Linked DNA regions of Schizosaccharomyces pombe. Changing the gene in region 1 together with any one later gene gives a genetic interaction. Each region holds a gene or a part of one and is shown on either strand. Other genes may lie near its edges.

The links.
Region 2: of mas5 (region 1) and hsf1, changing one suppresses a phenotype caused by changing the other (phenotypic suppression), as found in Schizosaccharomyces pombe (one study listed by BioGRID).

The regions. Positions count from the first base shown.
Region 1 is NC_003423.3:1,079,691-1,083,618, reverse strand, and holds mas5 (DNAJ domain-containing protein Mas5), read right to left. Parts: upstream 2,245-3,928; 5' UTR 1,901-2,244; coding exon 677-1,900; 3' UTR 272-676; downstream 1-271. Other genes in the region: alg12 (dolichyl-P-Man:Man(7)GlcNAc(2)-PP-dolichyl-alpha-1,6-mannosyltransferase), read left to right, coding at 1-34. UniProt on the Schizosaccharomyces pombe protein: Probably involved in mitochondrial protein import. Plays a role in microtubule cytoskeleton organization.
Region 2 is NC_003424.3:5,057,051-5,060,978, reverse strand, and holds the start of hsf1 (DNA-binding transcription factor Hsf1), read right to left. Parts: upstream 1,725-3,928; 5' UTR 1,505-1,724; coding exon 1,177-1,504; exon of another isoform or gene 1,166-1,176; intron 1,021-1,165; exon of another isoform or gene 835-1,020; coding exon 1-834. Other genes in the region: Set3 complex SANT/Myb domain subunit Snt1, read right to left, coding at 2,286-3,928. UniProt on the Schizosaccharomyces pombe protein: DNA-binding protein that specifically binds heat shock promoter elements (HSE) and activates transcription. Also required for growth at normal temperatures.

The DNA.
Region 1 (3,928 bases):
AGATCGGATTCTAACGCATATCACCCAGGGATGATAGTTTAGTAAGAAAACGAGAGTAAAATTTTTTCAAGGTATATTCTTCAAGTTTTACGATTTTGTATTTACAGTTACAATTTAGTAGCATCCCCCACTTGAATTGTATTGCAACGATAAGTAGAGTGAATAAACATAATTTTAGTTCGCAGACAATTCAAAGTGCAGAAGCGCATCAAAAATTATTTACTACTTTTTCCAAAAGCCGTAATTGTAATTGTCTCACAAATACTAAAATTTTACAAACAAAGCAAGCAAGATCTAATTTATGTATTCATATTTATAAATCGACTTTTTGCAGTCATTATATTTATTGAAGCAGCGTATTAACGAAGTATAAAGACCAAGATAAGAACCGAGAGAATAACTATCAAAGGCAAGTATGTTAGATATGCCGAAGCTAGATATCAAACATCTTTATGAGATAAAAGAAAACTAACACCAAATGAGGGGAATGAGTTTACAGGATGAAAAAAAGGAACAAGAGAATAAGGTATACATGCAATAGCAACTCGAAACCTAAGGAAAAGATTAGGAACATCTGAAAACAAATAATTGTCTAGGCTCTTCTTAAAAGGATAACGAATCCAAATGCTGTCAATTTTGAAAAAATGAATGAAAAGAAATTCAGAATAAGACAGGTTTACTGTTGAGCACATTGAACACCGGGGTGTCCACCTTCTTCATCTTCATCTTCATCCATCGAAGTGGCAGTAGTGGGGTCCACGTTATTGTCAATGCGAACCTTCTCAGTAGGATCGACAGTTGCCAAAACACATTCCTCAGTGTGAGCATTTTTGGGAGCGCTCTCAATCTTACGGGGAGGTAAAGCCTTTTCAAGCAATGCAAGCTGTTCTGGGGTAGCGAAGTTGGGTTCAGGAAAGTCGACATGGAAGCGAATGTAAAGGTTTCCAGGTTGATGATGGCGTTGAGAAAGCATACCTTGACCAGGAAGAACTTTGAGTTCATTGGGACGAATGCACTCTCCGGGGATGATGGGGATAGTAAGCCAACGGTCGTCCAGGTGCTCGACGACAATTTGACCACCAGCCAAAGCAGTGAGTAAATCGACATGAGCCTCATAAAACAAATGATCACCACTGCGCTTGAAACGAGGATGTTCCTTTTGATCAATGACAAAGATTACATCACCGGGAATGATTCCAGGAGCTTGCTCGCCTTCTTCCTTAAATACAATCTTCTGACCATTGTGCATACCCTTCTCAACATGTACGGTAAGGATTTTACGTTGAGAAATGACCTTGGCACCATCACATTCTTTGCAACGGTCTTCATCGCGGATGGTTTCACCTGCACCATTACAATCAGGACAGGTCATTTGCATACGTTGTATCATTGGACCCATGGCACGAGTAATGAATTTGACACCGCTACCATTACAAGAGGCACAAGATTTGACAGAGCCTTCCTTGCCACCACGACCGCTACACTTGGGGCAAATGACCTTCTTTTGCAAAGCAAGCTTTGTAGTCTTACCACGATAGAGGTCCTCCAAAGTAACCTTGATGGTATGAACAAGATCCTTGCCCTTGCGAGGACCACGGGGCATACCACCACCAAACATTCCACCACCAAAAAAGGAAGCAAACAAGTCATCAGCAGACATACCACCATCGGCACCACCACCTTGTAAACCTTCTTCACCAAAACGATCATAAGTAGCACGTTTCTCTTCATCAGCAAGAATTTCATAAGCACGGCTAATTTCCTTAAACTTATCGCCGGCATTAGGGTTTTTGTCGGGATGATATTTTAAAGCAAGCTTGCGGTAAGCTTTCTTCAATTCAGCTTGAGAAGCAGTGACATCAACGTTCAAGACTTCGTATAGTTTAGTTTCTTTCACCATTATGCTTGTAATATATGTAAGGAGAACAAAAACGACAGTGGAAGAAAGGGGGTAAATAAAAAAGAAATTGGAATATTAAGAAGATAAAATATTAGAGGAGACTTTAATGGAGTCTATAATAAAGCAAAGATTCAACAATAAGTCAAATTCGTGAGAAAAGAGGAAAAAGTAAAAAAATTTCCCTTAAAAACTTTCTCAGATAAGTTTAAAAAAAATTTTATCGCTAAAATAGCAATCCACCAATTTTCTAGAAAGAAACACAAAATAATCGTTTCTTTTCAATACTTTTCTATTAAATTTCCTTTCACAAATTATCAAAATGTGAAAAGTGGTAGGAAATGGTTGAAAGAAAAGTGTGTTGTTCTTATGTTCTTGTAGCTGGTGTGTTGTTGTCAAAGGAAAATACGAGAACAAAATTTCCCTTAAATCGTAATTGTTGTGCTGAGTAAGAAAATCGTAAAAATTTCGCTCAAAATATATAAAATGATCAAAAGAAAAGAAATAATCACACAGAGATTCAAACTGCGAGTATAGAAAATCGAGTTAAAATCAAGAGATGAGAAATTTCCTTTCCTTTTATTTCTTTCCCCTTTGAAACAATAGGAAAATAAAGGATTGAATTTGTACAGTAAATAAGACTAAATAAATAAAAATGCAAATGCCAAACGATATCGCGAAAGCCGGGAAACAGAGAAAAACGTAAAAAAAAATTGAATAAAAATGCACTTCGGCAGTTAAATTTTTTTGTTTTAATTTGTTTAGGCGATCAATTTCTATTGTTTGCCTCTTTACAATTCACAAAGAAGGAGGCGGACCCTACAGGTTATTAAGGAAACGAAAATTTCTCTGTTTGCAGCCACCCAGCGAAATTTATGGAAAAAAGAAAACAGTAGAAAACTACTGATAGCGAATCTTTCGTAAAGAAGGTTGCAAACACTCTAGTATGCACGGAAGAGAAGAAAAAAAGAGAATACTAAAGAATGTATATGTTTTTTATGGATGAATGAAAAGAAAAACAATTTAAATACTGAGAAGTCAACAGAAAGATGTTTGTAAATAGTTGCAAAGGGATTTTAGTAATATTATGATTTTATTCACATTTCCATTTAACCTTAATTTTTCCCCGTAAGTAATCGAATCCTGTTGAAGATAAAAACAATTGTATAGTATAATATTGGATCAAACGGAAAGCTAGCACCACGTTTTTTACATAAGATAATGAAGATAATGAAATATTTAGTAGAAGGTAGTTTATCTATTTGTTTACATTCTTCTACATTCTACAGTACGTTGAAAAGAAACGAGATTCATAAACATCAGTCTTAGTTGACGTTTCTAATGTTTCTTCAATTCTATTTCCTAACACTACGACGCACTTGTGAAAAAAATAATTTGTATTTACATGAAAGGGACAAAGTCTTGAAAGTAGCAAAATCTCTATATTATTATTTTATTACCATAGGAAGTATGCTTATTATTTTGTGGGGGTCACGTACCTTGTGGGATTCAGCATACAATCTTTCTAGCATTATTCTTTGAACATATTGCTCCATCCCCGGTTTCCATGGAAAGTTATAGAAAGTTCCATGTGGGGGCATACACAGGTGGGATTAAAAGTCCATAATCGATTTTCCCACATGGTATTGAAAAAGCTCCAAGTGGGGGACTGACCTGAAATCTAACCATGTGGAGGTAAAGGAGTAAACAAAAGGCTAAAAGTAAATGAGAATGTGAAGTGAATTCAAAAGTAAATAATTGACTAAAATTAAAAAGAAAGAAATTAATGCATTTTGTGTAGGATAGATGGTTAATAAGTGTTTTATTCTACTGTCATAATAAACTTGTTTAATTTTCACTGCACAATTTTTTTTTTTTATTACACAAGAAAAAAATAACGAGATTGCAATTGATTTGTATTTTCTAAATATTTCATTAATTTTTTTCTTACTATTACATTCTTCAATATCAATGAATCGTTTACATTTTGTGTTTAAAAAACATTAACGAATAAATAAATAATATATGTTT
Region 2 (3,928 bases), on another chromosome or scaffold:
TACTATTGGCATCATCTAACATATTGATAATATCACCAGTGTTCACGACTTTAGGATCAGTGGTATCATCTCGATTTAATGAGGGTACATCCGTATTAGGTGATTGATTGGGAGAAATGTATGAGTCAATCGAATTGTTAAAGGAATCGGCAGATTCCTTTTTAAGTCCTGGCTCATTCGTATAGCTTTGAGAAATATAATCCTTCGGTGAATGCGAATCCGAATTAAAAGAAGAAACATAATTTAAAGCTCGTCCATTTTGAACGGATCTGTATTTGCCCTCTCCATCAGGAGTCGTATTGTGTAAAGAGGAGATACTAGCACTACTAGAATTAGCAGTAGTACCTTGAGGTGAAGGCCTTGAATGCGCAGACGGTTCATTCGTAGGTGAAACCGTAGGATATTTAGCTTCTAATAAGAGCCGACGACTTTTGGGCATAACTTTGCTAGGTGGCTTCTGTTTACCATCCAAATATACACTGGCAAGAAAACGAAGGATCTTATCAATCGTCTCTTGATGGCGACGTTGTCTCTCGCGATTTTCCATATTTTCCTGCCAAAGAGCTGCGTTATCGACTTGGATCCTACTGAGTTCGTTCGACAAATTCATCTGCTGGATGCGAATATTCTGTAGCTCAGAGGATATCGTAGACATGTCTAAACTGGTATTTGATTCTTCAACGGGTTGGCTACCGGCCTTTTTTCGCGTTACTAGGCATAGTAATTCAGGTTGGTCACGTTGAAAGTTTGGATTTGCAAACTCGAGAAGCTCGTTGGGACTATCGGATTGTAAAACACCTTGCTGTATATGAGGGACTTTATGAAAGCCGTACACTGTAAAAAGTTAGTAAACCAAAAAAAAAAAAAAATGAATGTAATAAAATGAGATGCGAAGGACAAGAAAAGATAGAAAAGGGCTTGACAAAGACTAATTAGATAAATAATCAATAATTCCGAAGTATTGCAATATTTTTCATATCGTCGAAAAGTGGAACGGAAGAACAATCGAAAGAGATAGTCGTTGTTAAGCTTACTGATCCAAAAGTTTTCCAAAGCCCGATATATCTTCGAATAAATGCAGACAAGTAGGGGGACACATTCATAATAAAAAAAATTAATTGTGTAAAAGCTTGTCTTCGACTTTTTGTTACACCTTCACTTTTTAAAGACACTTACTGTTTAATTGCCGAACAAAACTAGAAAAATTATTGTGCTTGAAATACCGTGGAAGAACCAGCTTAGCAAAATCTTCATGCCCTATAACCAAAAACGAATCACCCCGGTCGCTCCATCGAATTAAGGAATCTGTCGACGAGTCGTTCACCATATTGTACAGTTTATTACTAAACTGTGTGATTTTCCTATTTTGTGAAGAACCTGAGCCCGACATCCCTACGGACATCGAATTTTGTGTCCCATTCATCTCCGGTGAATTTGCGCTGCTGGACTCCATTCCCTGATTCGTTCCGCCATTGCTTGAAATTGTCGATGCAGTCTGAATCATTAAAAATCAATTTATTATGGGTGCCGTTAATTTAACAAAAATATATATGTCCGTTACTGATTTAAAGGAATTCTCAGTACCTTCTTCTCAACCACCAGGGAAGAATATGCAGTTCGTATTTCACAAGGTTCAATCAAGATATTCTTAAATAATGTATACTTTCTCAGTAGCTTTAACAAGCTCTCACCGAAATTTGAAGCGGGTGTCGTTGGTTGATGTCAAGTTATATTTTGCAATAATCCACTACCGAATGATTACAATACACCATATATCATTCACCGGGGTATATCGCTAATTTGTTTAGTGAGGTCATTTAGCCACTCGGTATTTATTTTTGGTGTCGGTTTTGCATGCAACAAAAAATGCAAAAAATTATTAAATCGAATAAATTGTTATGTGTCAATTACAGATTAACTTACTAACGCTACTAATTAAGCGTTTCCGTCGCCGAGACTAATAACTAGATTTCACATGAAGATTTATTGATTGAAAAAATTCGTCTCTTGATAGATTTCGTAAACGATCGGCAGTCAAGTTATTATAGAGTTTTTACTTTTTTAATAAAAACTCACCATCATAACCCGACACATATAGAACTCTCACATTAAAAGTAATAGAAAATATATACAAAAGAAAAAAAAAAAAGGATTAAAGTAGAATTCGAGATAAGTCGAGTAAGGCATCACGTAAGGAGGTACCAATTTGCGAATTAGAAAACAAAACCCCTTCATATAACAACAAATGGTAAATAACGCCATTAAATAACACTAAACGTCACAACTCATACAATTTTATCGTTTTTGGACTGGCGTTCAACAATGTCTTCGCCCAATGCTGCTAATGTATGAATTGATGCTCGTGGAAATGATTGACTATTCGGAAATGCGTTTATGTCTGATGTCGTATGAGATGAATGTGTTGTATGCTCTTGATCCTCGACTGATAACTCGTCTATGCGTTGACTTTTTGCATCTTCAGACACCATTTTCAGTATCTTTGATATTGACGGTGTAATGCAATCACTAGCTCGACGGCGATTTGGAGAATCAATTTCGGTCAATTGGAAAGTAGGGCGTGGCCGAGGACCAGTGGAGGCTCTTCTTGGAGTAAGAGGCATTTTCATTGGATTCATACCTTGGGCCAACGAAAATATTAACGCTTCTTCTTTTTCATCCCAACCAGGCAAGTGCCCTTGGTGAGCAGACTCATCAACGGCGGATATGGAACGACCAACGGCAGACAGGTTCGCTAGAGCCGAAGCTGCATCCTCCTCCTTCCTAGTTGAAATACTGTTACGCTTGGAAGAAGAATGTTGTTCAAGCTTTGGTTCATAGTAATCCTCCTGCTTTATGGTATCCTGGCTAATATCCATAGGCTCGTCCTGTGTCGGCGTTTTCTCATGAACGGATTCTTTGATTTGCAGTAATGTGTTATTCCCTTCATTTTCAGCTGTATCATAAACGTCAACATCATGTTTGAAACCAGACACAGTCTCGCTCTTATCGGTCATATCAATAGACATAGGGTCAGGCTCTTGAGCTCCTTTTTCAATTTCATAAGCACTATTCCCTTCAACCAAAGACTTTATTTTTTCATCCATTTGTTCATCAGCATTGTGATTATTAACATTCTCATTCGCAGATTCAACATTTTCAACAGAGGGCGTATTATCCCAAGTATTCATATTATCAGCAGTGACGGAAGCTTCTTGAAATTGATTATTGATATTCTCTTCCGTTTTATTAATATCCGCAGCTTCAATATCAACCATAAGAGCAGAACCCTTGGACTTTTTCTTTCCACCTCTTTGAGAAGGAAGGAGCTTTTTTCGCCGACGACCCTTAGTTTTTGTTGCAGATGCTACCAAAGCTCGATAGTCAGTTGTCCTTTTTGTCAGATAATAATGTAATACACATTCTTTAGAGTTTTTTCCTGGCACTGCCTCTGCGATTTTACCAAATTTTTTTCCATGTAAAATAAATTGCTGAACGAAAATGGAATGCTGTTCTTCATTCCATATGTCAGGCATACTTTGAAAGTGATAGAATTTAGGACAATCTGTTACTAACCGGCTCTGATCATTAAAGTATTGACTTTTCACTTCTTCTTCTGAAAGTATCATAGGAGGAATAGTAGCAATTCGAGAGGCCTCAGATACATTGCTTGCTTCTTTTTCTTGCTGCTCGAGCTTTGCTAAAATCTCCAAAAACTCTTCTTCGGAACGAACTATATCACCAGCTGTAAAGTTGCTCATCACTTTACGTGTACTTCGTTTGATAAACGGTTCCGATTTTTTAGCATTCTTAGTTTTGTCTATTTCAGTCAATCTGTCAACCCGAGCAATATTTTCCTCCCACCGACCTAACACTTGTTTCCAATGGCTCTGTAAACGCTTTATTTTCTTATTAAGTACATGGCGTCTTT